Linked DNA regions of Mus musculus: all the other regions are reported to be linked to region 2. Evidence: microRNA targets listed by miRTarBase, many of them from high-throughput screens and not tested one by one. Region 2 holds a microRNA gene; each other region holds the end of a gene's coding sequence.
Evidence for each region. The annotated mature microRNA mmu-miR-697 reads AACAUCCUGGUCCUGUGGAGA and lies in region 2 at 2,834-2,854, opposite strand. An mRNA with a match to its seed (bases 2 to 7 or 8) in the 3' UTR can be bound and repressed. Matches are read on the target gene's strand: a 7mer-m8 pairs with bases 2 to 8, a 7mer-A1 pairs with bases 2 to 7 and ends in A, and an 8mer does both.

Region 1: miRTarBase lists Pdpk1 as a target of mmu-miR-697. Seed matches in the 3' UTR shown: 7mer-m8 at 2,295-2,301, 7mer-m8 at 1,113-1,119, 7mer-A1 at 1,014-1,020 and 7mer-A1 at 436-442.
Region 3: the mRNA of Nat8l is a reported target of mmu-miR-697. The part of its 3' UTR that is shown has no 7-base or 8-base seed match.
Region 4: miRTarBase lists Spag7 as a target of mmu-miR-697. Seed matches in the 3' UTR shown: 7mer-A1 at 3,403-3,409.
Region 5: miRTarBase lists Csnk1g1 as a target of mmu-miR-697. The part of its 3' UTR that is shown has no 7-base or 8-base seed match.
Region 6: miRTarBase lists Atp5g3 as a target of mmu-miR-697. Seed matches in the 3' UTR shown: 7mer-A1 at 3,955-3,961.

The regions. Positions count from the first base shown.
Region 1 is chr17:24,075,622-24,080,569 of GRCm38, forward strand. It overlaps Pdpk1 (3-phosphoinositide dependent protein kinase 1), which reads right to left. Exons shown (of 14, transcript NM_011062.4): 12 at 4,757-4,814; 13 at 3,871-4,023; 14 at 1-3,521. The coding sequence ends at 3,405. Among named protein-coding and RNA genes, the nearest start is that of Kctd5, 4.6 kb to the left of the region's middle.
Region 2 is chr4:124,729,674-124,734,621 of GRCm38, reverse strand. It overlaps Mir697 (microRNA 697), which reads right to left and starts at 2,928; the gene lies at 2,820-2,928. It overlaps Sf3a3 (splicing factor 3a, subunit 3), which reads right to left. Exons shown (of 17, transcript NM_029157.3): 16 at 3,196-3,251; 17 at 2,199-2,434. The coding sequence ends at 2,357.
Region 3 is chr5:33,999,956-34,004,903 of GRCm38, forward strand. It overlaps Nat8l (N-acetyltransferase 8-like), which reads left to right. Exons shown (of 3, transcript NM_001001985.3): 3 at 825-4,948. The coding sequence ends at 1,192. Among named protein-coding and RNA genes, the nearest start is that of Nat8l, 6.4 kb to the left of the region's middle.
Region 4 is chr11:70,660,540-70,665,487 of GRCm38, forward strand. Spag7 (sperm associated antigen 7) reads right to left here. Exons shown (of 7, transcript NM_172561.3): 2 at 4,758-4,825; 3 at 4,449-4,537; 4 at 4,244-4,328; 5 at 4,039-4,128; 6 at 3,781-3,937; 7 at 3,230-3,681. The coding sequence ends at 3,572. It overlaps Eno3 (enolase 3, beta muscle), which reads left to right. Exons shown (of 12, transcript NM_001136062.2): 7 at 121-343; 8 at 458-655; 9 at 850-1,051; 10 at 1,423-1,531; 11 at 1,675-1,733; 12 at 1,824-1,974. The coding sequence ends at 1,893. Among named protein-coding and RNA genes, the nearest start is that of Eno3, 5.8 kb to the left of the region's middle.
Region 5 is chr9:66,037,826-66,042,773 of GRCm38, forward strand. Csnk1g1 (casein kinase 1, gamma 1) reads left to right here. Exons shown (of 14, transcript NM_173185.2): 14 at 1,752-4,948. The coding sequence ends at 1,806. Among named protein-coding and RNA genes, the nearest start is that of Ppib, 20 kb to the right of the region's middle.
Region 6 is chr2:73,904,591-73,909,179 of GRCm38, forward strand. It overlaps Atp5g3 (ATP synthase, H+ transporting, mitochondrial F0 complex, subunit C3 (subunit 9)), which reads right to left. Exons shown (of 5, transcript NM_175015.3): 5 at 3,857-4,117. The coding sequence ends at 4,003. Among named protein-coding and RNA genes, the nearest start is that of Atp5g3, 4.4 kb to the right of the region's middle.

The DNA.
Region 1 (4,948 bases), not on the chromosome of region 2:
AATACCACTTCAGGTGTGTGAGGAAGGGGCAAAATCAGAATAAAAAATCAAAGACTTAGAAGTATATTCACCACAGCATTATTTAAATAGCAAAAACAAAAACAAAACACAAAGGAAACCAAAAACCATCTGAATGTTTTACAACAGGGAAACAACTGCATAACTTATAAATTTACAACCACTTGACTCCACAATTATCAAAAACATGCTTTTGAAGAACTACTCACGGCCACGGCATGGAGAAATGCTTAAGAGAAAACAAGTCAAGTGAAAAAGCTGGATGTAAAATGATGAATGTTGTATGTGTTCCCAGTTTGGTTTAGAAAGCAAACAAGGACTAAGGATGCACATCAGTGGTAGAGCACTCGCTTAGCAATCCTGAACCTCACTATTCAATTCCCAGCACTGGAACAAAGAGTTAGGGAGAACAGCATCTACATCCAAATGTTCACAGTGGTCTCTGAATGACGGGCCTTCCTTTATTCTTTTGCTTTCAGAAAACATACACTTCTTTAAGAAAGCACACAATTACCTACGGCCCCCTTGCTGGTACTGGGAGTCTGTGCCACACAACTGTCGGCAAGGTTACTTCAAGCATGAATCACAAACACTAGGGTGGCCCAAAGAGAGCTGCAGCAGTTAACGTTTCTATCAGTTTCAGCCTAACACAAGCCATCTCTCAAAGTGGTTTTTTACTGCATCTAACTGGGTTTTAGCTCAAAATGACATCTGAGCCATGATGCCACACCCTGAAGTGGAGAGGCTCAGCTCTACATGGGGAGCCCACTGCCCAGCTGGAGCACAGAAAAACAGGTGGAATTGACCCATTCAAGCTAAGTTTCATCTGTGATGCTGAGAGAAGCCAGGGCTCAAGTGGGCTGTGAGGTACTACAGTCTGCTGTACCTAGGTAGGAGAAGCCAGAGAACAGTCTTCAACTTTCTTTCCATCCTTGCCATTCCTAGGACACATGATTTCTAGAGGTACTAACAGGGTATTTCTCTCTCTCCTTACATACATCCCAAATTTACTGTTTCACACACACACACACACACACACACACACACACACACACACACACACACACACACACGAGTTGTACAAACTGACATCCACATCCTGTCCTACAAAGTAAGGCACCTTCACACAGGGTGACGGCTCTAAGGATGACTGGAAAAATGAAGGTGATTTAAGCCAGGTTAAGAAATGAATGTACATGGTTCATTAAAGGAAAAAAAAATCAAGGAAAAGGGGGCAGTAAGGACAAAGGTGACCTGGGAAGAGATCAGCTGTTGTAGCTTGGGCAGTCATGGTGACCACCCACTACTAATAGCTCAGCTGAACTCTGATTTTAGAGGTTAGGGTGGTGCTTGGTAAAGCCCAGGAGGTAGTGTTGCTCTCCAGGGAAGGAAGCAACAAAGGACTCTCCCATATACAGCCAGCTTTGTGGTCTAATTCAAGCCAAGCCTCAGTCCACTGCTCCCCTGTAGTTAAATGCCCTCAAAGATGCTTTCCCTGTGTCTGCATGCACCTGAGAGACAGGAAGCCACTCTTACTTACATGTACAAATGTAGGATACAGGGCACTCTGAGGGCAAAATAGCCACAAGGCGTGAGCAAGAACAGGACTCCAAGGAGGAAATAGCCAAGTGTACTTAACAGGCTCTTCAAAAACCAGGAGAAATGAGTGCCCACTTTCACTCTCAGGCTGACAGCATCCTAGGCCATACCTGTTCTGTGGGTTCTACTGGCAAGTGAGGTCCTGCTCCTTGCTCACCTGAAGCTCTTCTCACACGATCTAGCTGAGTCTAAATAAAATCCCTGTTCCCACCCAGCAACCCTGCCACAGAGTGGTGGCTGACTTTTCATCCTCACTCTACCCCAGCTGAACAGAATCACTCTTGTTGTTAAAGATTTGAAGTAGAATCTTTCCCCCTCTCAGTTTAGATGGCCTGGCCCACAGGTAGTCACTGTAGAGTAGACAGAACAGGGTAACCTCTGTTGTTGTGTGTGTTTGGGGGCGCCTATGTGAAAGTCAATAGAAATGGCAAAATTGTTGCTGCCATTGGGACATAGGAGTCTGAGGTGCTACTGTGAGCAGATGGGAGATGCCTACTTTTCTCCACTAGACACCAAGGGCCAACTTTCAGGGATATCCTAGTCAAAGAGAGGTACAGCCAAGTCCCTCAAAAGCACTCTGCAAGAAATGCCAAAAGAAGTGTCCCATTACTGGCAAAGAATGCCAGCATAGGCAGGCTCAGATTAAGAGGGCTGTTCCTGTGAGCAGGACAGTGATAACATCCTTTCCAGGCAAGGCCCACACTTTATGGAGTAGGTGACCAGGCAACATGAGAAGGCTTCTAGATTTTCAATCGTTGTAAAAATGGACCAGCTGAGAAGTGTTTGCCCACAGCATCGCAGGTGAGGCACACCCTAGGGTTTGCTCGGTGCTTGCCTCATAGGGCATGTGGTCTACTCACCTAAACCTGTGCAGAAACTCCAAGGAGGGCCTGCTGTCCCACTTCTCTACATGGAAGCAGTGGCCCAAGCTGGATTCTCTACAGTACCTCCAGCCTTGCCCAGGTTCAGGACAGGATTCTGTACCTGATAATAATCTAGTTGGTGTTACCTAGGTGCTAGTGCGACAGCAACCCTCCTGGACATGTGCTTGGCTTAGTGTCTAGTTCACTGGATAAACTTCTAGGAAGTGGAACACTAGAGCAGAGCCCAGTAAGAGCACCTGTAACTACAACAGCCTTCATTCTTCTCACCATACAACCTGCCTGCTGTAAGGCAGGAACCACAGAAATCATGTCACCATAAACACACCTGACCAAAGTTCTAGGGCCATACAAGAGATTCAAGGAAGGGAGAACACATACAAGCTAAGAGCCCTGTACCCACAGTAAGCTGGTGACTACCCCAGCAGGAGTGAAGGGGCTCCTGGGGAAGGATTCTGCAACAACTAGGGTAGGCCAGATACACCCCGTCCCTCAGTCACAGCAGGAGCTGTGTGTATCAGGTGGGGAAAGGTAGAGGCAGGCATGCAGTTCCTGTGGATGCTAAGAGGGGCGGGTGATGCCAAATCTGGCCACTGGTCTGGGCAAAAGCTGGGCTACCGTGCAAGGAGCTGGGTCTCCATGGCCACAGCAGTGCATGGAAGCCACCACAGAGCACAGAGAGCAAGCAAAGCGACCCTGAATTCCTGTTTGTTGGCTATTTGTTTTGTTCTTTGTGTGGTTGGGTTCTTTTTTTTCTTTTCTTTTAAATAAAAAAGCTGCAAGATTTCTGCCATCTATGTTCTCCACGAGATGGCTGGCAGGTGGTCTGGAAGCGTCCTGGGTGGCGGCCGAGCCGCGCTGGGGCAGGTATCCTGGCAGCAATAGGCAGCCCGGCCGCAGGCCACGTCACTGCACAGCAGCATCTGGATTGCTCTGGTACTGCTGCCTCCAAACCTCCTGGATCTTTCTGCACCACTTGTGAGCATTCCCGCTTGGATCCATCAGGTAGTACGTCCTGTTAGGCTGCAAAACAGAGCATCTGATGTCCCTCAGGGAGTCCAGTCCCCACCCAGCCTATCTTGCTGTCAATGCTGCCAGCACCTTTTTGAAGCCTGTGGGCACAGTGGGCTTCTTCATTCTACAAGTGCAGAACTAAAATATGTGGGCAGGTGACCTACCAGAAACCAACATCAAGCAGAAATCTATCTCTGGCCCAATTCAGGCCTAAGTTGTTCATATAGGTCTGTCTCTAGGACTCAGGAAGCTGACCTGACCCTAGATGCTTCCTTGGCCAAAGCAAGGGCCACTTACAACAGAGATGCAGAAGCCTATGATGAGGCTACAGTAAGATGCCTTATAGGGATAGACTCACCGTGTGGACAAAGAAAGTTTTAAAATTCTTGGCTTCTGGTCGGAGTTCTTGTGACCATGGGATTTCACCTTTCAAGACCTTGTTGACAGGATCAACATAATATAAATGTGGCCCTTCTGTGAGTAATAACTGTCGTCGTCTTGCAAATAAACCCTGGTCCAAATAAAATAAACAAACTGTTTGATCAAGACACAGATGGGATTAACTGGTAAGTAGCTCAGGACATAGTGACTGACTGCCACCTCCCCATTCACCTGAGACACTTTCTCCTCAACCTGGAACCTATATATTACATAAGATTACATAAGCACAGGTCTCTGCTGTTTAGCTCACAATGTGCCTTTCAATAGCTAGCTTGTGGTGCCCTGACCCCTCAGCTTTTCTAAGGCTCAGAGTCCTGCCCTTGGCAGGCCAGGCCTCAGCCCACCTTCATGGAGATTCTCGCTTCCAGAGTGTACACAGCCAGGAAGTGTGTTCAGGAGGCTCCTGTTGGCAGAGTCTGATATATTCTGCACTACTTGTTGCCCAGAAAATGATAAACAACAACCCCTGTATTTTCAAAGCTTCTAATGAAAGACTACTTGCTGAGCTCTGAGAAATGATCTGTTCCCCTCAATGTGACAGAAACCTTAGCACAGTGAGCTGGGCCTTGTGCAACCATGCCCTGTGGCCAGCGCATATGGCTGATTTACCACAAGACTTGACTGCTTCCCTGAGAGTCTGAGTGTTCCCGGCTTTATAAAATCTAGAGATGATCTCCAAAGATCATGCCAAGATGAAGAATGCCATATCCAACAATTCATGGCAGGACCCCAGGGTGAAGAACTGACCTGGGATAGAAACAGTAGGAAGTCATAGGATGAAGAGGATCAGGGAACCAACTCACCTTTCGCTTATCCACTGGACCCATTTTTAATATTAGATTATTTTCTACAAACTGGTGCCTAAAAAAATAAAGAAAGAAGAATGACCCAGCAGTTCTCCAAACTCTACACTTTGGACATTCCCCACAGGGCCTCTGTAGACTTTATATCCATCAAATCCTGTCCTCCACCCCACCCCAAAGACACAGCCTCTC
Region 2 (4,948 bases):
TGGATCCCATCACAGTTGGTTGTGAGCTACCTTGCGGTTGCTGGGATTTGAACTCAGGACCTCTGGAAGAGCAGTCAGTGCTCTTAACCACTGAGCCATCTCTCCAGCCTGTAATACATTCTCTTTATTGTCTTTTACCAGACATCCAGATTGATATCCTGTCTTTGCAATTTTGATTCCCTATCTTTGCAATAAATATGTATGTGCAAATTATTTCTGTGATGTCCTCTTAAGAGTCCTCTGGATGTCTACCCAGGAGTATACAGCCAGGTAATACAATAGTTCATTTTAGTCTAAAAAAAATCAAATGTATGAAATATAAGCAATGAAAAGCAGCAGACTGGGCTGGAGAGATGGCTCAGTGGTTAAGAGCACCGACTGCTCTTCCAAAGGTCCTGAGTTCAAATCCCAGCAACCACAAGGTGGCTCACAACCATCCATATGAGATCTGACAGCCTCTTCTGGTGCATCTGAAGACAGCTACAGTGTACTTAGATATAATAATAAATAAATCTTAAAAAAAAAAAAAGCAGACTTTGCTGCAACAAGTGAGCTCCAGTTCCTTGCCAGGCATTTCTGGCATAATTCATAGGACTCCTCAGGCTCTGATCCTACCTCTCCTCCATACCACAACAGGGCATCTCATTAACCCTGGAGTCTCAGGCACCTACTCAGCGGGATATGACAGCTACAAAGCAATGGAGCATTCCTTGACAGCCCAGTAGGGCTACAATTGTAGCCTGGGGGCTTCCTGCTTTTCCATCCCAAGGCTTTGCTTCATCTCCCTTCACCTCGGCCTGGTTTCCATCAATCAGTTTCTAATTGATTCAATTAGATGTGATTATGGGCTCCTTGCTGCACAAGCCCAGGGGAGGTTGCTCATCTAGCTCTTAAAGACTGGCAGAGTCAAAGCATAAGGTGCCATACAAAGAATGGGCTGGCCAGAGTAATGTAATTCAGAGGAGGAGCGGTGAGACCTTTGCTGCCAGAGGCGTGACAAGGACAACAGGAAGATGGAGGATGGCCAGCCAGAGTTGGGGTTCTTCAAAGTAATGCCTGAAAAGCAAACTAGCTTAGGGTCACCATGCTAAGAGGGCGCTGGGTAATTTTACTCAACCTTCAGTGACTGTCCTCACAGGTTGGGCAGAGCTTCTTAGTCCTTTCTGCAGTCTGGAATAGCAGGTGCTGAACCCAGAGCAGCTCCTTCTTGCAGCCATCCTCTTGCCTGAGCTGTCTGGAAGCTTCAAATGCGGGTCTCTGCTACTATACCTGGCTCCAGCTCATTTTTTTTATTTTTTTAAGGCAGTGTCTCACTTTGTCACCCTGACTGGCTTTGAACTCAGATACCTGCCTCTGTCCCCAGGTGCTGGGACTAAGGCCAACTATATAGCTAATTTCTTTATGCAAATAAAACAGGCAAACCTTGAAGCCATTTTAAGCCTTCAGGCCTAGCTCAACCTCCTGTTTGCTCTTGTATGCACACCAATGGCTGGCACTCAACTGGGGGCAGAGTTCATGCTGGCATGATGCTCATTTGGGAAGTGGCAGTGACGGGGAGAAAAGTTAGGTCTCAATTACTTGACACATGCCCAATGTGGCAGCACAGATCTGTAATCTCAGCACACAGGAGGCTGAGGTAGGATAGATGGGAGTTGGTAGCCTAGGCTGTCAGTGAGACACATACAGAATCATATTTAGGCAGTAATAACTACCTCCTAAATCTAAGCCACTGTGGAAGCTGGTGAGAACAAGGCTAGAAGGCATTAAGAACAAAAGGATGGGGCCTGGAGAGATGGCTCAGTGGATAAGACCATTGACTGATCTTCCATAGGTCTAGTTCAAATCCCAGCAACCACAAGGTGGCTCACAACCATCAGTAATGGGATCAGATGCCCTCTTCTGGTGTGTATGAAGACAGCAACAGTGTACTCACATACATTAAATATTAAAAAAAAACAAAACAAAAAGGACGAAGTTACTTCATAAACCTAGGCTGGGTGGGTGGTGGTGGCACACACCTTTAATCCCAGCACTTGGGAGGCAGAGGCAGGTGGATTTCTGAGTTTGAGTCCAACCTGATCTACAAAGTGAGTTCCAGGACAGCCAGGGCTATACAGAGAAACCCTGTCTCAAAAAAGAAAAACAAAAAATTCATAAACTTGGGTTTCAGAAACAACACATCCAAAACAAGGGCTGGCTTTATTTTCCCACAGATCTTTTTAATATAAAACAAAGATAAAACACATCTCAACTCTGCAATCTGCAAGGTTTCTACAAGGTAGATACTACATAGCAAAAAGTCTTTAAGAACATTTGGTTGGGGAAGCTTTTCTCAGGCTTCTCAGGGAACCGAGCACTAGAGCAGCCCTTGTCTTTTCAGATCCTCGTATGTCTTCTTGTTCACAACATTTCCACTGGAGTCTTCATATTCTTCCTGAAAAGGTATGGCTCTGTTAGCTCCACACTGAATTCCACAGCAAACTCTGGTTCCCGGAAACCAGTATTAACTTCACATAGCTTTCTCAACGGAGTTCCAAGAGGGAACCAATGCTATTTCTAGATATCCAGAGTGGCACCAGATGTGGCTCACCCTTATCCCTACATAGTCTTTCAAGTAACGCCCTGCGTTTGAGGCAAGGCAGCCTGGCAGGGAAGGGCTGACCAAACACAGCAGTGTGAAATGGTCCCCAAGCCTGGGTTTCTGACCACAGGCCACTGCAGGAGTCAACAGGGTGGCCAGTCTGTGTTTCAGGTCTACACTGTAGCTGAAAGGGTTCTTGATGCGAAAAATCAGAACTGAAATACTGACATAGAATAAAGGAGACTATGACAGTCTCCACAGGACCAGGATGTTACCGCCACCCCTTCAATGTGTGGTAGTCACCTCTGAGACCTGTCAAGACCAACATCCAGGACACATCCCCACTCTGAAGAGAGAACTACCTCTGACCTGATGCTTTCCTCAGAGACCTAAGAGTGACAGACTTCTTTAGAAATCGTTAGGGTAGCACAGGAGACTGGTGTCCTCAGTGGGAGAACTGCCTGATGACAAAGACTTAGATGCATGGCAGCAGGTTCACACAGTCACCTTGTAGACACTGTCTCATTACACTTGCTAGTACAGAGAATTTCCTCTGCAAGGTGAGGAAGCTGTCACTTGACGCCACATCTAACACTCTCCACATTAGCACCCACCTCGGTGTCAGGCTGCCACCGTTCTGAAGCCTTCTGCAGTTTCAGCTTGGCCCACACTGCAGGATGGGAGATAAGCAGTCATTAGGGCCCACAGTCCACTTGTGCAGTGTTACGTCATTCTCACCCTCACCGCCCAGCTCCCTGAAGGTTCCTTTAATGACTGCCAGCCCCCAAATGGAATTCTGATCTAGAACTACCTGTAGATAAAACTTTTATTGAGAAATTTATCATGATTTCACCTTGCTGTAAAAGAAAATCTCATGAAATCAGGGTGATGTACACACCTGTAACCTCAGCATTTGGGAGACAGAGGAAGAAGGATCAGGAAGCTTAAAGCTAGCCTTGGCTACATAGTGAGATTGAGGCCAGTTTGTGCTAAATGAATATCCCTGCCTCAAAAACAAAACAAACGATTACAACAGTAAAAAGGAAACACTCTCAAAAGAAGCAGTGTGGAGCAGTCTGGAGAAACTTGGATAAAATGAACAGGATCATAGCTTAGAAGGCATCACACATGCGTCCTGCTTAGGGTTTGGTTTTGTCTTGTTTTTTTTTGTTTTTGTTTTTCGAGACAGGGTTTCTCTGTGTAGCTCTGGCTGTCCTGGAACTTACTCTGTAGACCAGGCTGGCCTTGAACTCAGAAATCCGCCTGCCTCTGCCTCCCAAGTGCTGGGATTAACCGCCCAGCTTGTTTTGTTTTTTGAGACAGGGTTTCTCTATGTAGTCCTGGTTGTCCTCGAGCTCAGGCTATCCTGGAACTCAGAGATCTTGTCTCTGTCACCTGAGATCTGGGATTAAAGGAGTTGTTTCCATGCTCAGCCTCTGTCCTGGTTAGTTTGGAACGTCAAGTGAGAAAATACCCCATCAGATTTTCAGTATTGCACTTTCTTTTTTTATTTTTCCTTCTTCTTCGAGACAGGGTTTCTCAGTATAGCCCTGGCTGTCCTAGAACTCACTCTGTAGACCAGGTTGGCCTCGAACTCAGAAATCCGCCTGCCTCTGCCTCCTGAGTGCTGGGATTAAATGCGTGCACCACCTTGCCCGGCTGTGCTGCACTTTGATTACTGACTGACACGGGATGGCTCAGCTCACTGTGGGTGCTGCCACACCCCTGGGCAGGTGGTTCTGCAAGTTTTAAGAAAGTAAGATGAGCCGGGCGTGGTGGCACACACCTTTAATCCCAGCACTTGGGAGGCAGAGGCAGTCGGATTTCTGAGTTTGAGGCCAGCCTTGTCTACTGAGTGAGTTCCAGGACAGGCAAGCTACATTGTGAGACTCTGTCTAGAACAAAACCAAACCAAACCAAACCCATCAATAAATAAAACCAACTGTCTGGCTCACATGAAGTGAAACTTAACAGAGATGGATGAGAAGGAGCCTGCAGTAAGGATGAGAAGGAGCCTGTAGTAAGGTGTCAGTAGCAGAGGCTGCCAGGCAAGGTGAAGCACCTGGCACACATTCCCCTGCCGTACCCCACCCCACCCCCGGCCCTTCCTCCAATGAGTACGTCGCTGCTGTCACTCTCTGAGGAATCTGAGCATGGAGCCACTTCTGTTTCCTTCTGGATCAGTGGTTCTGAACACATTAAAGTCTCTTCAGAAGAGTAACAAATAACTCTCTCAGAATGCTCCAGAGAGGAAAGCTCATAGATTCAGGCTAAAGACCCTGTTCTAACCTCAGCATAGGGTTCTTTTCAAGGAGATATAATCAGTACTGTTGACTTGCTCGCTCCCATAAAAAATGCAGTAATTAT
Region 3 (4,948 bases), not on the chromosome of region 2:
GTGCAGAGCTTTTGGCATAAGCCCTCTGAAGGAGGCTGGAGGTGGAGTGGGTAAGGCCAAGGGAGGCCAGATCTCCCACAGCAAGTCACTCTCTTGGCTTGGCCAGACGCTCTCTCCCCCCTACCATCCTTTAGCCTTCATCTTTCAGAAAGGTCTCAGGGTGTCCCCTTGACCATGTACCTCTAGTTCAGGAAGGTGACTGGATTCCCTGTGTCCCATGCCCGTCAGAATTCCTCCCATCCAAACTCCTTGTTCTCGCCCCCTCCCTTCTTGTAAGGGCTGGCTAGCCTGGTGTCAGGGTTACTGGGTTTGGGGTGTGTGTGGCTGTCTGTGGTCCCTCGCTGGGTCAGAAAACATTCTTCTGGGTTCTCATTCAGTTATATCCCTGCAAAGATACTGGGGGAGGAGTATGGCAGACCAAGGGCTGGGATTCAGAGTATGTCAGCAAGACATGCTCTGCCCTGTGGCCCTAGCTGTGGTTGTCTGTGGGTTTTCCTGTGGTCTGGGGGTAGGAATTTGCTTTGTCAAGGGCTGTGCAGCTCCTAGGCACCTCCAACTACTATTCTGGCCAGGACAATAGAGACTTGGGCTGGAGCTGATTGTGTCTGCTTGTGAGGTGGGATCCTGTCATGCAAAGTTGGGCAGGTTTGCCCGGACTGAGGCTTATGGAGTGTCTCGTGGCCTCCCCTGGTGTCCAAAAGAGCTGAAAGGTGAGGATTGAGCATCATTGTGATACCCTGACTTGGCACTCAGCTGGAATGGGCAGCTCGAAAGTCTCTTCAGTCTTCCATGCAGAATATCCCTGATTGTCATGTCCTTCCTAGGTTCCTGTTTCTGGGTGGCTGTGCTGGACGGCAACGTTGTGGGCATCGTGGCCGCACGGGCCCATGAGGAGGACAACACAGTGGAGCTGCTCCGCATGTCCGTGGACTCGCGTTTCCGCGGAAAAGGCATCGCCAAGGCTCTGGGCAGGAGGGTGTTGGAGTTTGCCATGCTGCACAACTACTCTGCAGTGGTACTGGGCACCACAGCCGTTAAGGTGGCCGCCCACAAGCTCTATGAGTCACTGGGCTTCAGACACATGGGCGCGAGTGATCACTACGTGCTGCCTGGCATGACCCTCTCGCTGGCCGAGCGCCTCTTCTTCCAGGTCCGCTACCACCGCTACCGCCTGCAGCTGCGCGAGGAGTGACCACCACCACCTGCCCACCACCCTGTCTGCCCCCGTCCACCTCTGCCCTCTTGCTCACTGCCTAGTGCGGCCCTGCTTTCCAATGCTCACCTTGGCATTTGTTTGGGTTTTCCTTTTTCAGCATCATGCTGGTTCATCACCTGGCTGGTTCTGGGGCCACAGGGTCCCAGTCCAGAGTGCTCATCTGCAACACTCTGGTGGGGTGGATTGTCTGCAGCCATGGCCCTTGCCTCCCCAGCCCATCAGAGTGGCTCATCATGCCTTGAAGAGCAGCATTGTGGACCATCTGAACTATCCACAAAGCTGCCCAGCCTGCCTCCATCAGGGAAGGACTAGCCTTGCCCATCAAGCACAGAACCTCTACAACAACCCCCCCCCCCCCAAGGAGCAGAACCCTGGCCCCCAGCCAGGCTAAGGCTCAACTATTGGCCTCTGGAAGAGTGGTCTGCTGGGCTGGCCAGCCACTGCCCCATGGGAGGCTGAGCTGGTCCCAGGCCCTGCTTTGCCCTGTGCATGCTAAGGACATGGCCTGGCTGCAGCATGCCGCATGCCACAGCCCCCTGCCCCACTATCCTGCCCAGCCTGGACCTCAGGCCTGAGCTGGTGAGCTCCCTTGTCCTGTCCTGAGCTGGCCTCTGGAGGGCCTACCTGCCTGACCCTGTCTACTCTCTGGTGAGGCCTGGCCTGGCCTAACCTGGCTCTATCCACTCCTGCTTTGCTTCGAAATCATCTTACCTCTTTCCCTTTTTGGTCCCCGTGCCTCCTTGCTCTGGCTGACTTGGCTGGTCACCCGGGTTTGGTTCCTGTAGCAATCCACTGCACAGCATGGTGGGGATTTCATGGGGGTGGGGGGGACACCTCCCCCAACACCTGTTAGACCAGGTGGCCACCTCCCAGCTGCCTGAGGTCCTGTGGCCTCATGCTGTTTGTGGGGTCTGCCCTGTGAATGTAACTAGCCCAGGCTGTTGTTGGCAATGCCTGCCACAGCTTCTCCCAGCCTGAAACAACCCATTCTCTAATAAGTTACGTAGACAGAATAGCACTCTGCATGACTTTAATTACTGGGACAAAATGGTAGTTTGAGCCTCCAGACACACATCTGTGTGGTGCTAGCATACGCATGGTCTCTGGCCCCATTTGATGGGGGTGGGTGGCCGGGTAGGTGGAAGATTTCAGTTTGAAGTATGGAAGGAGACTCTAATTTAGTGTAAACACCCCTAAAGTGCCCTCACAACACAGTCTGTGAGGCTCAGGTTGCCCCTTGATTCCTTGTATGCAGGATTGAGGGGACTGGAGGGTCCTAAAGCCTCATAGGAAGGGCTGGGCACTGCCTCGGGGGAAGAAGCTGGTGGTTGGGGTGGGTCCAGGTATCACCCACTACAGACTACTCTGCTAGGTCAACTGTTCCTGGCCTCTCCTTTTTGAGGTTCTACTTCAGATCCAGCCTAGATGGGGGTGGGTATGGCCTAGGACAGGGAAAGGCAGTAGCTGGCAGTGGTCATGAGGCCAGCTGAAACTTGGACTTAGCTTTAGTGCAGGGGGTGCATAAAGGCCCGTCCACATTCCTCTGTGTGGGGCTTGGGGTGAGGAGTGGCAGGCTAGGTAGACCATAGAGCTGGGCCCCTGGCACCAAGGCTACATTATTAGAAAGGCTCTTTAGAGTTAATGAGTTGGTGGAACAAGCCCAGCTTCCTGAGGGGCCTTTTGTCCTGTTAGCAATTGAGGCATTTGCAGAACACTGTACAGACCCCGCTCTCCCCTGTACATTCCTCCCTGGTGGTGCCCGGTCCCCGCTTGGGGATGGGAGTTTTGTAGACTGTACAGAAATTGGCACCCTATTTTCTTGCAGCTCTCAGATTTTGTTAATCTGGATTATACAGACAGATGTAAAGTGTTTTAGCAAAATGGAAAACAAACAGTTGTGCCTTTTTTCTCTTTTCTGTTTGGATTGGTCTCGGCTCGGGGCTAGTCTTAGTTGTTGTGGGGGTATAGGGACTGCTGGTGTCTGAGGCCTGTGGGGTCAGAGACTGCTGGTGGGTCTGAGGCCTGGGTAGGCCTAAGTGGGAGCCAGGTCTACTGGACACCACCAGCTGCCAAGACTTCTCTGATCCTGTGCCTTTGGGGCCTGCAGTCTGGGGTTGGAAGGTGTGGCAGGGCACTGGGATCACTTGGGCCAGGGCTGAGCTTGGGGATCCTGTAGCCACCCATGTCTCCTTGATACTGACCTGGGATGAGCTCATAGTAGATTCCTCCAGCCTAGGAGCCTGGGAGAAGCCGTGGCCCTTCCAGCCTCTTGGCACCTTTCCAAGGGGATCTCTCCCTGCTGAACAACCCATGGATAAAGGGAAGTTTGCTGGGCTCTCAAGTATTCGTTGCCTTCTGTTGCTGCCAACACTTGGTAGAGATTCCAGGAATGGATGGTGGGGTAGGCTCCAGCTGCATCAGGATGGAGCCTCACCAGGCAGTATGTAGCTTGGCAGGGCCTGAGGCCCTGGAGACATACCTGTGTCCCTGGGCTGGCGGAAGCTGAGTGTGCTGATGGCTGCGCCTGACTGTGTCCACTCCATCATCCCAGCCAGAGCTCTGAGTGCTCTGCACATGTGCACTGATGTGAATTTTCTGTTTGTTGAGATTCTGATGTTTCTTCTACCTCTGTGGAGGCCCTCCTCTCTGCTCCACTTGGTGGCCATGTGCTTGGTGCCCCTCCTCTGAGTTGGCTGGCCATCTCCCCCTCCCTTGAGCCTCCAAGCACCTGAGGTGGCCAGCAGCTGTACTCTGGGCCTGGGAAGGCCCAGGGAAGGCCAGCCTGGGGTCTGACTCTCTGCTCAGGATCTGTGGCTTCCAGGAGTCCTATTGTTTGCTTGGAAACTTTAGAGTAGGGAGGGAAAAAGAGATGATGGAATGTCCCAGAATGTCAGTGTTGGATGACCCTACAGCTCAGATGTGGTATACCATTGCTTGACTGTTCCCAGGCAGCTCCCACTGCCCAGGCATGTGTCTCTGCAGATGCCTCGTCTCTGCTGTAGGCCAAGAGGCTGGCCTGCATGTTCTAAGATCTGGCCCCTGAGTGTAGCGAGGCCATGCCCTGGTGGCCATGACAGCCTCTTCCATGTCCTGGTCTCACCCCTATGCTTATCCTTCCCCCTAGCACTGCCCTGGGGCTGGGCAGCAGCTAAAGGCATGTGCTAACCTGGCTGAGGTGGTAGATGGCTGGCTTTGGCTGGGAGGCCCTGTGGTTAACAACTTAGTTTCAGGGTCTTGGACAGTTCCCATCTTGCACAGGTACCCTTCCTGAGATAAGGGATAGGGCAGAGGACAGAGTCAGGGACACACCTAAAGTGAGCTTGGGCTTTGACCTGATGCCTGGGACTCGCTAGACCATAGGATCATCGCTTGTTGCTGGAAAACATGCTGCCCATTCCTACTTGCCTTTGCCAACCCCAGGTAGCCCCATGGTCACAGCTTCCTGGAGCTGGCGTCCAGGGCTGTGCCTGTGGCTAAAGGCCTGGGGACAAAACTTTTTGGGTCTTGCTGGTGTCCCAGGTTTCTTGGGGACTGGATGTGACCTCCTAGCTGCGTAGGAACTGTGCAGCACCCATGAGGTCATCTTCTTGTCAGGCCCAAGGGGCAGCCTGAGAGAGCTGACCTGAGGTGGCTGTGTCCCTGGCCATGGTAGCAGTGCTGCTGGCGCCCGTTGTCCTTGGCTTTTGGCCACCCTCTGCTGGGTGTGAGGCAGACCCTGGGCTGGGCTGGGCT
Region 4 (4,948 bases), not on the chromosome of region 2:
AGTGCAGTGCTGCATCCTAGACCATTGAACTAGGGAGCAGAGCGCAGCTGTCACCTCCAGTTCCCTCTCACCTTTGACCCCTATGCCACCCAGCTCTGAGCACCAACTTCTGTGTCCCAGGCCTTTAATGTGATCAACGGCGGCTCTCATGCTGGAAACAAGCTGGCCATGCAGGAGTTCATGATTCTGCCAGTGGGAGCCAGCTCTTTCAAGGAAGCCATGCGCATCGGCGCTGAGGTCTACCACCACCTCAAGGGGGTCATCAAGGCCAAGTATGGGAAGGACGCCACCAACGTGGGGGATGAGGGTGGCTTTGCACCCAACATCCTGGAGAACAATGAGGGTCAGTGCTGAACATCCTGGGGCAGAGTGCCTGAGTGCCCCTGAGGTGGGGGGAAAGAGAGGCTGCAGATACAGCCATACTGGAGTCTCAGGTCATCTCTTGCTCCTCTCCCAGCCCTGGAGCTGCTAAAGACAGCCATCCAGGCAGCCGGTTACCCGGACAAGGTGGTGATCGGCATGGATGTAGCTGCGTCTGAATTCTACCGCAACGGCAAGTATGATCTGGACTTCAAGTCACCCGATGACCCTGCCAGGCACATCAGTGGGGAGAAGCTTGGGGAGCTGTACAAGAACTTCATCCAGAACTATCCCGGTGAGACGGCCGGGTGCTCCCCCCGCCCTTGTCTTCTGCGGTTACCTAGCATGGCTCTCAGCATTTGGCTTTGTCACAATTCCTGTCCTTCCCATCTTTAGCTCATCCGTAGCCTCCATTTAACCTCTGCTACCTGTCACCCCTCTATCAGGCCCCTGTCTCTAACCCCATCTGTGCTCCCAACTCCCTACCAGTGGTCTCCATTGAGGACCCCTTTGACCAGGATGACTGGGCCACATGGACCTCATTCCTCTCTGGGGTGGACATCCAGATTGTGGGAGATGACCTCACGGTAACCAACCCCAAGAGGATTGCTCAGGCTGTGGAGAAGAAGGCCTGCAATTGCCTGCTCCTGAAGGTCAACCAGATCGGCTCCGTGACGGAGTCCATCCAGGCGTGAGTGCCTCCTGACTCAGGCCCCCCCCCCCCCCCCCCCCCGGCTCCAGCCACTGCTGCTGCTCTTCCATGGGTGCCTTTCCCAGGGCCCCTGACCTACTCAAGCCTCAGAACCCCTAGGCTATGACTGACCCCCAACTTGGCTCTAAGACTTTTGCCATTGTGGCTCTGCCATGTCCCTTAACCTCCCTTCTGTTTTGTGTTCTTCTGCTTGCCATCTTCTGACCACTCTAATCCAAGATCAGAAATCTCTCCTCCTTCCCAAAGAACTTAGTCACTGCCCAAACAAAGGGAAAGTTCTATCTTGCCTGCCCCTGACTTTCTTATTGAGGTGGTCACATAAGGTCTCATCAAATGCCTTTCCCACACAGCTGTAAACTTGCACAATCTAATGGCTGGGGAGTGATGGTGAGCCACCGCTCTGGGGAGACCGAAGACACTTTCATCGCTGACCTTGTGGTGGGACTCTGCACAGGACAGGTACTCGGGGTTTCTCTCTACTGAGTATCTAACCAAGTTTCCTTGGTCACCTTGGTATCACTTGGGCCATCTAAGTTGGATACCACTACAGCCTGCTCTTTTGGGGCCCAAACCAACCCCTCCAAACCCTTTTCCCACCTCAGATCAAGACTGGTGCTCCCTGCCGTTCAGAGCGTCTGGCAAAATACAACCAGCTTATGAGGTACAATTTGTGCAGAGGCCTAGACCGTGGGGAGAGGAAGGCGCTCCTGGGTTAGAAAGTAGGAGCTCTGATTTTCTTTTTGTATTGTAGGATTGAGGAGGCTCTTGGGGACAAAGCTGTCTTTGCTGGAAGAAAGTTCCGTAATCCAAAGGCCAAATGAGGAGCTGGAGACTCCAGGCTTTCACAGGAAAGACACAGGCCTTCAAGCCCTTCTCCCAGAAATAAACACTGCCAAACCAGACCATGCTGTGTTCCTTAGGAGGGAATGAATGACAAGCTCGCCAGGAAGGACAGGGCTGGGGTGGGGTGGGGGTGGGAGACAGGGAAGAAGGCAGAGAATATCATGTGACCTGCTGTGACAAGGAAGTAAGGGATTTGAAAGCTCAGTGGATGTAGAATAGAGACTTTCAAAGTTTGGAATGAAGCTAGAGAAAGCAAAACTGTATGTGAAAAGGAGCTGGAGAGGAGGTGGAAGTGGCTCCCAAGTAGACAGCGGTGGATGGAGAGGGGCCGAGGAAGGGTCCTGGTGCTCCCAGCATTGGAGGGATCTGGATCAGGCTGCAGCCAGACTGAGTGCTTCTCAAGGATTAAAGGATAATGAGATCATTACCACTTCAGTGGAGCTTGTGAGGATCTGAAGTGTTCAAAATACTTGACAGTATTAACCCACAGAAGCTTTCAAACAGTCCTGTCAGCCATTTACCAATCTATCCCCCTTTTACACACCAGGAAGCCAAGGCACGAGTTGAGTATCTTACTCAACACAGCAGAGTTAGCAACTCGAAAAGCTAGGACACAAAATGCCTGGCTTCAGCCTTAACTGGGTGTGGTGGCTTATATCCGTAATCTTAGGCCTTGGGAGATGGAGTAAGGGCCCGTCTCAAGATTCCAAGCTTAGGGGCTTCAGTGGTTAGGGGCATTTGTTGCTCTTACCGGCACCAGGCTTCAGTTCCCAGCACCAATGGCAGCTCACAACCATTGGTAACTACAGTTCTAGGGGCTCCAATGCCCTCTCCAGAGCACCACGGGCACCAGGCACGCACACGGTGCAGATCCTTGCATGCAGGTAAAACATTCATACACATAATCTAAAAAAAGAAACATCGTGCTGGCTTCCCGGTGAGTGCCCAGTAGGCATGAGGCCCTGAGTTCAATCTAGTATCACAAGAATAAAATATGTGAAAGTGTCACAGTAGCAGTGCTAATAATTGGCCATCTTTAGCTTAAACAAACAGCAACGTTATACTGTTGAATCCACATTTATGGAGGTAATACCCACAATTTCTTCTCTCTCTCTCTCTCTCTCTCTCCCTCTCCCTCTCCCTCTCCCTCTCCCTCTCCCCCTCTCTAGAAAAGGTTTCTCTGTGTAGCCCTGGCTGTCCTAGAACTTTCTCTGTAGATCAGGCTGGCCTCGAACTCACAGAGATCTACCTGGCTTTGCCTCCCAAGTGTTAGGATTAAAGGTGTGCGCCATCAATGGACTAGTATCCACATTTCCAGGTACAAGTCAGAACACTGGGTCAAACAGTGTTTATTCAATGTAAAGTAACCCAGGCCCACGGGGAAGAAAGTTCCAAGGGTAATAGAGAATAATACAGATTAAATACACATTTTTACACACACACACACACACACACACACACACACACACACACACACACACACCCCATACATCCAAATTCCAGCAGTGATAAACACTTGCTTCTCCTCCAGCCTGAGTGACAGCTGGCAGGGCCTCATAGGTTAGAAATGGGGCTCCAGAATGGGTCCTGATAGCAGCAGCCTTGTCCCTCCATGCCCCTGCCTTGCTGGAGGTCAAAGCAAGGTGGGCGGGATGCCTAGGAGGTAGTTGGCAACTCTTCACCACTCTGCCGCAGGCGTTTCTTGGCTCTGATCTCATTCATGGCCTCCTCTATGGACCGTGTGTCCCGCTTGTTGGCCACAGGAACTAGCAGCAGAGGGGAGAGTGGGCAAGACCTCAGTCTCTGCTCCCCTCCCCCAAACTACGTTCTCCCCCATCCCTCCCCCAGCTCCTGCCATGGCTCACCACAGCCATAGGTCTTGTTGGCCTGTAGCATGTGGGCTGCATCTTTGGCTGCTCCTTTGCCAATAAGATGGCTATACTTGTCCTTGTAGTCGCTGGCAGGACTCACAACCGCAGGTCCCTGCTGCGCTGCCTCTTCCTCCTGCTTCTGAGCCAGCTCCTAAGGGCACAGAGGTAGGGTACCGGTGCTCAAGGCCCTGACCCAGATGGCCTCTTCCAGGTGATGGTTACGGGCTCCAGGGCCTGCCAGGAACAGCTCACCTTTAGCTTCCGCTTCTCCTCAGCCTTCTGGGGGTCCCACTCCTCTCCATGACGGTAGGAGTCTAGCTCTTCATCTGAGGGTGCAAACTCCTGGAGATGAAGAGAAAGGTAGAGTCAAGATCCAAATATATGAGGGATGCCACTCCTCTCAGGTGCAGGGATAGGCTGGGGCGGGGGCAGGGGGTGGCGGCGGCAGGCTTTTTACCTTTTTGAAGATCATGACATAGCGACAGTCATCATCTTCTCCAAAGGAGAAGGATGTGAGGCCAGCCACCTCTACCACATCATGTCTGTAAAGAGAAGGCAGGAGAGTAAGTGAGCCATGAGGAGTCTGATCTCCACTGGTCCCCACTGGCTCATTCACGCCCTCTATTGCCCATTTCTTGCCACCCCAACCCAGAGACACTCACAGTATGCTCCGCTCTATCTTGTTCATAGGCTGAAACTTTTTCTTGACCTGTCCACTGTCCTGGATGAAATCAGACACCTCTTTCTCCATCTTAGGAGAAACAAAGGGGAAGGACATGAGATGACAGCTCCACGATCTCCTGGGCCGATGGACGGCCTCTCCACACCTCCCACCACTCTCCCAGCTCCCGGGCGAGGGGCTTTTAGTTCCACCATCTGGAGGCACTGTCAGTACAACCAAGTCCTCAGCCTTCCAACTCTTACTGCAAATCCTTCCAGAAGCTGCCTTTGCTCTCGCCAGTTGTTCTCACCCTTTTCCGAAACTCCACTTTCTGCTGTTTGTCTTGCTCTTGTAGTTTCTTCAGACGGGCAGCCTGCTCTAGGGGTGAGAAAGGACCACAGGAGGTCAGGGCTGGCGCACGGGTAGCGAGCTGGTCAGGTTAAAGGCAGCCTGATAACCACTGGAAAGTGCTGGGCTTGGACAGTAGGGTTACTGTTCATT
Region 5 (4,948 bases), not on the chromosome of region 2:
CAAAAACCATCACCATGACCAAATTTTGAAGAAAATATTTTAAAATTCTCTTAAGAACCTCCTGTCTCAAATTGCTTGAAATTGCATTTAAAGTTCAAATTGCTATCTATTTAAATGTTTATTTCAGCATTCCGGAAAACTTTCTCCCTCTAGGTAAATCCTACCACTCTGGGAAGCTGAGGCCAGAGGATTGCACATTTGAAGCCAGCCTTGGCTACATAATAATGAGTCCTTGTCTCAAAAGAAAATTTCAAGAAAGAAACTTTATCCAGATTTCTAGTGATGAAAATCTTAGAAACACCAAAAGATAACACAGTAACACAGGGTTCTAAAGGGAGGGTGAGAGCTGCAGGCTGATGTAGGAGTATTGGAAGGGAGTAGTAGTGTCTCTGTAGGGATATCCCTTTTACTCACTAAACTCTGGGAGGCAGGGCTGGGCGGATGGCTCAGCAGTGAAGAGCACTTGCTGCTCCTCCAGAGCATATGTCGCTTCTCCCAGCACCCACACAGCAGCTCATGACTGTCTGTAAGTCAGTCCTACGAATCTGATGTCCTCAAGCTTCCATGGCACCAGGCACTCACGTGACACACAGACATATACAGACAGGCAAACACACTTATCTATATAAAATAACAAAAGTAATGTTAAACAACTCTGAAGGGATTAGGGAAGAGACTTAAAGATAATTTTCTCAGAACGAGTTTTCTTTCAAAGATCAAGCATCAGATGAGCTCTACTCACATCTTTCTTCCCTTCATTATTGGCACCGCTGACTCATCCTCTGCCTTCTGCCCACCCTTCTCATTTCCCATTTGTCATTTCTGGACAGAGCATACCTTTGTATCAACCTTGCCATGGCCCTCAATGTCTCTTCTCCAGTGCCTGTACACAGCTACACTCCCGGGTACAAAGGCTGGGTGAGGAGGGCATCCTCAGAGTTAGGGCACGCCAGCACTGCCACTCCTCTACAGGCTGGTCCTCCATGGCATGGCACCCACAGGGCCTCAGCCTCTACCTTAAACCAGTTGCTAACCCTGTCTGGAACAGTGGCAGTCTTGGGGAATTCCCTGTGACTAGAGTTTCCAGAGGGTTATTAGCTCCTGGGCTTCGGGCATTGGTCCCCTTGGAATGCTTGGCACATGTGCTGCTGTCAGGAGATGAAAGTTCACCCCCTTATGAGCTAGAGCTTCTGCTTACTCCAGGCCTCATGTTGGGGACAAGAACAAGGTAGAAGGGATCTTAGTCTTTTGTTGGCATCATGTGATTGCCAGGATTCTAGATTTCATACTTTGTGTGAGATATATTTGTCTCAGTTTAGCCTCCTTGCCTACTGACCAGTGAGCTACATTGAACTGCTGCTGGTATCAAGGGGCATCCAGTGCAACCTGCTTTTTTGTTACCCTGAGCACCCTCCATCTTGGTTCTAGACAAAGATGGAGTATCTAGGTTAGATGTTAGTCTAAGAACAAAGCCACCTTTATCCCTTCTTCCAGGAATGCCTGTGGCAGCCATGCCTAGAGAACAGCATTTTGATGATCTGGTAGAGTGGCTGCAACTCAAATCAGCTGTTGCCTTTAGCTTTCCTGACAGATGCCTGCTACTTCCAGTATATGTGTACTATAGATGGCGGGCGGCCATGTGGGTGGGCACCAGGAGGAAAAAAACCCATCTCCCGCAGTAAGCAGAGGCAGGCAGGGATCTGCTCAGAGCTGAGGCTTCTAGGCTGACTTAACATGTTCTTGTGCTCCAGGTGCTGCTGTTTCTTTAAGAGGAAAAGGAAGAAGACAGCCCAGCGACACAAGTGACCAGTGCCTCCCAGGAGTCCTCAAGTCCTGGGGACTCTGGCTCCAATTGCACCTGCAGCTCCTGCCATTTCTCATTGGAAGGGACTCCTCTGTGGGGGAGGGTAGAGATCCAAACCAAAAAGAAGAAAACAGATGCCCCCAGAAGGAGCCAGTGCAGGCAGCCAGGGCCGAGTGGGCCAGTGGCAATCCCCTCTGTCTGAGCTCTGAGCGGGTCCAGAGCTGCTGCTTCTCCACTGCTTGCCCTTGGGCTATCTGGTTGACTCTCTTCCCATTGTTTACAGTGAAGGTGTCATTCACAAAAACTCAAGGACTACTATTCTCTTCCCCCCTTTTTACTCCTGGCTCTTGCACCATCCTCAACCCTCTCCAGCATAAAGAAACTACTAAGCTAAAGGCTCTATCAAGAAGCTGGTGGTGTGGCCAAGAAGATAGGGGAAGATGACAGCCCTGGGCTGGAGAACTTCTCCACTTCCCAGGTGTGTCTGGTAGTGTGGCTTCCTCTCCCTCTGTGCCTGGGTAACCCCTCAGCCCAGCTGGCCACAGGGTTCAGGTCCCTTCCTTTGTCCTTCCCTTCCTCCCTCCCTCCTTCCCTCCTGTGAAGTTACACTGTAGGACACAAGCTGTGAGCAGTCTGCAGTCTACTGTCCCTGTGTGTTGGCGTTCTTAGCTTTTTTGACAAGCAGATCCCTTGCTCCGGGCTGTAGCAAAATATGCCTGTGGTTCTGAGCAAAGGAAAGGAAACTGACTTTATTGCACTTTTAGTTTTTTGGGTTTTTGTTTTTATTTTATAAACAACATGGCAGATGCATATTGTGTCTGGTTATATTGGGGGGTTTGTTTTTTTTTTTTTTTTCTTTTTCAAGGGGGATGGGCCAGCCAAGCCATTCAGAGAAAATGTGGGTCCAGAGGACATTTTTGATGGAAAGAGTCTGATTTGCAGCACTTGGAAGAGAAGAAGCCAAACTCTGCGTCATCCTGAGTAATATTCAGGTTGGCAAGGAAACATACTTGAATTTTCATTCATCTTCTCTGCTGCAGAAAAAAGTCCAGAGCCCTGACCTAATCAATCAGCCCAGACCTAATCAATCAGCCCAGAGCTTGAGCCCAGCTCCTGAGCCCGTGGGATGAGCACCGAGCCAGACTGTGACCAACCAGAAGGCACCTCGTCTCAGAGAGGAGATACTGAACAACAACAACAAAGCAAATTTCTGTTTCCTCCACTGCCAGGGACTTCCTACTAGATAGCCATGTGACTTTCTGTTGACTCGGGGGACAAAATTAGTGACTAAACACCCACCACCGTATTGCCAGTAGTGGACAAAAGAAGGCACCACATTTGCCTTCCAACTGCCAGAGGAGTCTCAGGATGCAGCATCCTAGGGCCAGGAAAAGAAAATATTTTCTGTCTGCCTGAAGTGAGCTAGAACATGTGGGTCAGTCTGCCTTAGAAACCATGCCTGTGATAATTTTGGAGCATATCCATAGCAACAGGCTTAGAACGTGGTACATGGGGCTGCTGCAAGCAGAGAAGGTAAGATTGGTTGGTGCTAGGAAATTCCAGGGAAAAGGAAACTGTAATGAAAGGTCTAAAATTTTATCTAAACAATCGAACAGAGACTGTCCAGACAGTATGACCACATATCTTAGCATGTTTTCCCCGGTACACACTCTATCTGCTACGGTGAAGCATCACTGGTTGCACAGTTAACAGTGTGTGGGGTTACTCCTCCCATGTTCTATTTTATTTGAGATTAGTGGCATTTCCAGATAGTAACTTCTTATGCTAGTTGTGGCAAAAAGGCTTATTCACGTGGGTAAAGAGGTCTTGTGTTTGGGTATAAAGAACTAACCACCGAGAGCAGTGGCTAGTGACTTAGTACAGCACAGAACTCTTTGCTTTTATATGTAGAGGACTGGACTGGAAGATGTCAGGACACTTGTGGTCATGGATCAAATTTAGTATCAAATGAAGCAGAGTTTGTGCACCTTACCTGTTCTATTGGACTGTGGCTAGGGAATCTCCTCACTGACTTCAAACCTGGTTAGCATTTGTAAATATTGCCACCTGGCCATTTCTTTACAAGAAATGTTTTTGTCTGTGAATCAGAGTGGCAGGGAGAAGTCAGGTCAGACCCCTTCCCCATAAGGAGTTGGAGTGTTAGGATTTGCTTCCTTTTTACTATATAGTAGTTAAAGCTCATCACTAACATTTATACAGTCCCTCATTTGGCATGTGGGCAACTCTGACTTCCCCTACAGAAACTTAAAAGTCTTTATCCCAGGAAATGGTGGCAACCTGGCACTCTCTGCCCTACTAAGTGCCTCCCCCACCCTGCTTCCAAGGTAAAGTAAAGGCAGTGACCAGCTTGGCTGCAGGGTGGGATGCCCTGCAGCTGGGCTTAAGACTTCTTTTTTGTCTTAAAATATTTTTATAGGCTAGCTCTTGAGGGGTTAAACCTGAGTGGTTTGTGTATGTGGGGGAGTGTCCTTCCTAATGCACTGTTGGCACCCTCCAGCACCCACAAATCCCTTACTAGGTATTTGGGTTTTGTAGCAAAGGTCCCTTTAACGTGCAGGGTGGTGGTGATCCTTTCAAGGCCAGTGACACGCCAAGGTGATCCCAAACCTGAGGAATTCTCATCTTCCTTAAAGTTAAAATAGAACTAAATTCCCCCAAAACACTCTTCTCATCATTTCAGCCCCCACCCCCAGCCCAGCACTTGAGGCTTCATGCACATCCCTGCTTCTTTTACCTGCCTGACTGCAAGCTCAGCAGATCCTCGGGCACAGGCAACCCCCTCCATCTCCTTGCATCCAGGTCCACTTGCTCCATCTCACCCGACACTTGAGACAGCAGGCATTTGATACTGTACTATCTGGAGTTTCCTCGAGCTTTGCTGTCCTTGAGACATTGCAGTTTGAGCAGACTGAGGTCCAGCCAGGCCAGGGTTACACCAGGGTGTAAAGTGTTCAGTCATATAAGTGGATTTTCAGAATTCTTGCTCCAGACTGCCCCCAAGGCTGCACTGAATGTCCCAGCAGCTGGTGAACACTCATGACTGCCTTAACATTCTTCTACTTCGGGTCTGTCCAGGAGCAAACAGGGTCTGTGAAGATGTCTGAGTCAGGCGACTAGGTAAGT
Region 6 (4,589 bases), not on the chromosome of region 2:
GTGTGTGTCATTTATAAATGCTTAGCCCTTCATTTGCAGTTTTCCTGTATGTAAAATATGTTTTACACATTAAATATCTTTCCACATTCTCTTTGGACAAATCACTACTGGCTTCTAATTCAAGTCATAATGAGCTAACTTTTGGAGAGAATTTTGACAGGCACTGAATGCTGTTTAGGAGAAGTCAAGAGAAGCTCAGGTGAACAAAGACCAAGTGTGATGGTTTGTATGTGCTTGGCTCAGGGAGTGGCACTGTTGAGAGGTGTGGCCTTGTTGGAGTAGGTGTGGCCTTGTTGGAGTAGGTGTGGCCTTGTGGTGTGAGTTTTAATACCCTTGTCCTAGCTGCCTGGGAGTGAGTATTCTGCTAGCAGCTTTCAGATGAAGTTGTAGAACTCTCAGCTCCTCTTGCACCATGCCTGCCTGGATGTTGCCATGTTCCTGCCTTGATGATACTGGACTGAACATCTGAACCTGTAAGCCAGCCTCAATTAAATGTTGTCCTTATAAGGATTGCCTTGGGACTGGAGAGATGGCTCAGCAGTTAAGAGCACTGACTGCTCTTCCAGAGGTCCTGAATTCAATTCTAGCAACCACATGGTGGTTCACAACCATCTTTAATGGGATCCAATGCCCTCTTCTGGTGTGTCTGAAGATAGTGACAGTGTACTCACATATACAAAATAAACCTTAAAAAAAAAAAAGGGCTGGGCAGTGGTGGCACACACCTTTAGTCCCAGCACTTGGGAGGCAGAGGCAGGTGGATTTCTTGAGTTCAAGGCCAGCCTGGTCTACAGAGTGAGTTCCAGGACAGCCAGGGCTACACAGAGAAACCCTGTTGGGGGTGGGGTGGGGGGAGGATTGCCTTGGTCATTGTCTCTGTTCACAGCAATAAAACCCTAACTAAGACACCAAGGAAGATGTCATGAAATTAAATCCTACAATTATTGCAAATGAGATTCAACATCATTTTCTCAAATAATGTGCTTTATTCTACTCTCTACTCCACCTTAACAATCCTATCCCTGTAGACAAATCTCAATTAGTCATGAGAATGAAGACATCAAAAACGCAAGTGGGTTTTCTTAGTGTCCTTATTTATAGCAGTCACTGTAGCAGTTCTCCCAAGAGAACTGACTGTGGAGCCAGTTGTTGGCTGAGCCACACATTCTGAACTGAGCCACTTCTCAGACCCTGCACTCTGACCTTGTATTCACAGCTTTTAGGCACACTGCATTGGTCCTCTCTATACAGGACCAAGTCTACTTCTAAGATTCTCATATTTAAAATTATACAAAAATCAAAATTCTTTATTTCCCCAAATTAATTTCTCTTTGGCATCCTGGACATAATCATATTGAAAACCCTAGCATGGGTTCTGAAACCCAGGGAGTTATGAACTCAGATCTGGGTACTACCAAACAATGGCCAAATAATTTGGGAAATGAACTGATTTTTCCTAATTTTGCAGGCTTGTTTTGAGTATTGACAGTATATGTGTGAAGCCTTTCTTCTCAGGAGTAGTAGGGAATAGACACCCTTGTCTTTTCTGACTGGCCCTAGAGATCTAGGCAGGTCCCAATACTTTTAGAGATTCCTTTCTTTTCTCTCTTTCTTTCTTCCTTCCTTCCTTTCTTTTTTTTTTTTTTTTCTTTCTTCCTTTCTTTTCCTTTTTAAGATTTATTCATTTATTTTATGCATGAGTACACCACCATTGCTCTCTTCAGACACACCAGAAGAGGGCACCAGACCCCATTATGGATGGTTGGGAGCCACCATGTGGTTGCTGGGAATTGAACTCAGGTCCTTCAGAAGAGCAGTCAGTGCTCTTAACCGCTGAGTCATCTCTCCAGCCCTGAAATTTTCTTTTTAAGAATTATTTTTAAAATTAAAAAAAATTAGGGCTGGAGAGATGGCTGGGCTGGAGAGATGGCTCAGAGGTTAAGAGCACTGACTGCTCTTCTGAAGGTCCTGAGTTCAAATCCCAGCAACCACATGGTGGCTCACAACCATCAGTAATGAAATCTGATTCCCTCTTCTGGAGTGTGTGAGGACAGCTACAGTGTACTTACATATAATAAATAAAGTCACCCAAGTGAAAAAAAAAATTAATCTTATGTGTATGTACTTTTGCCTGTGTGTATATGTGCACCACATGTGTGCCTGGTGTGGGCAAAAGTCAGAAGAGGACTCAAATCTCCTGGAGCTAGAGCTACAGATGGTTGTGAGCACCCAACTGAGGCTGGGAATAGTGCTCCAGTCCTCTGCAACAGTAGTAAGTGCTCTCATCCACAAAGCCATCTCTCCAGTCCTGTGAAGTTCCTTTATAATTATCGTGGCCACCATCCTAGACTAAGGCCTCTGTGTCTAACAGTTTCCTTGGGGACTGCAACATTCCATCCTGTAGGGAAGTTTCTTAAGCATGAAGGTAAACTCACAAGCTGCAGTGTGCTCTAGGTTTCTAGATTTGTGAGCTGTCATGGGTGCCAGAGTGGGCTTTGGTGATGCGGCTGCCTTTGAGACATCTCTGCTACAGTAACCCCTCACTCATATACGTGTAAATAATCCCAATAAAACTCATTGGTTCAACTTAGGGTTTGGTAGTATCCATACTTGTTTTGCCATGGGTCCCTTACCTGCCATTTCCCCAGGAAATTTCTTGCCACACAACATCCTATTTATCACTAGAAGATCTGCTGTGGTAGCCACTGGTACTGCTGACTTCAAGCCATTCCACACTGGTCTTTTTCTGACCATTCTGGAACTCTAAACTAAGCTGGCCTTCAACTCAGAGATCCAGAGGCCTCTCCCTCCCAGACTAAAGACACGCACAAGCACCAGACCACCTTGGTCTCCTTAAATAATTCTAAACATAGCTCCAAGGGGTTTTGTTTTTGTTTTTTCGAGACAGGGTTTCTCTAGCCCTAGCTGTCCTAGAACTCACTTTGTAGACCAGGCTGGCCTCGAGCTCAGAAATCCGCTTGCCTCTGCCTCCCAAGTGCTGGGATTAAAGGCGTGGGCCACCATGCCCCGCTGTCTGTGATCACATGATAAAACTCATTTATCTGCTAATTTGTGCATTTGTGTGCCAGCCTACCTTTCACCTGTAGCTCACACTGTTTCCTGGCAATGTTTCATGTGCCAGTGCTCTTCTGTTTTTAAGTCTGCAGTTGAGCCACTCACTAGGTGGTCCTCTTGCTACTCAAGGTTTAGCATAAGGTGGAGACAAGCAGTGTTCTCAAGTGATCTCTTCCCTGGAAAATGACTCCCAGCCCTTCCAAACATCTCTGTATGCTTACTCATAACAGTAGGAAACTCACCTACTGGTTTTCTTTCTTTTTTTTCTTATTTTTGGTTTTCGAGACAGGGTTTCTCTATGTAGCCCTGGCTGTCCTGGAACTCACTGTGTAGACTTTGTAGACCAGGCTGGCCTCGAACTCAGAAATCCGCCTGCCTCTGCTTCCCAAGTGCTGGGATTAAAGGCGTGCGCCACCATGCCTGGTTTATGGTAACCATGTAATGAGATGGTTTTGTGCATTTATAACCTTGTTCAAGCACCAATCACCCAAAATGAAACTCCACAACTAACAGTCAGTCACCCACAGTTCCATGCTCCTAGAGTTCCCAATAACTTCTAATTGGCCTAGTCTCTACAAAGTTACCTATTTTATACAAACAAAATCACACTATGGGTCTTTTGCTTGGTCTACTTCACTAAGTGTTTTTCAATGTTTCATATTCATCACTTTTTCAAAACCAGGGTAACTGCTGTACCTTCCTCTGACTTGGACAACCACCTACCTCAACAGATCATCTTTATGATGATCCACACTTATATAAGTACAAATCACAGCAAGAATTAAAGTTTTCATCTTTAATGAAATGACTGTGGAAATAACATATATTTCCATGACACCAGTACTACAGTCTTCGGAGTCACAGCAAGATACACAGAATTACATCCGTAATTACTATGAATGCCAACATTTCAGGCAGTAATTTCTGTTACATGGCAAACAAGATCAAGAACGCAACCATCAAACAAAAGAGACCCATAGCTTCAGACAAGGCAAATCCCAGGATAGCATATGAGAACAGCTGCTGCTTCAGTGAAGGGTTTCTAAAAGAGACACAACACAGATGACTGTTACTGTGAAGCAACGTTGATGTCAGCACATTGGGTAAATGGTAGAGTCAGATATCTAGTATGGGGATCTTTGCAAGTCTCATGGGGGTGCTATCTCCTATACCACTTTGCTTTTGTCTCTCAGAGTATTTTACCCACTCCTAATCATGTGGCATAAAGTCAGGGAGCTATCTTCGTATGCAAATATAAATCCTCAGTTTACACCACCTTGAGGGGTCCTGACATTTGTGATCTCCTTGACTCTCCTGACTGGTTGGAGTTATAGGCGTGTTCCCTAGCCCCTAGCTCTATCCTCACTTATTTAAGTGACCAGTGCACACACAGCTCAGAATATAATGCAAGACACAGCAGACACTTCATTCAAAAGGGCTACCATTATTTCATCATTTCCCTCTTTCCACGTCTACTTTCCCACTGAGTCTTCACCTTACTCTGACAGACATGA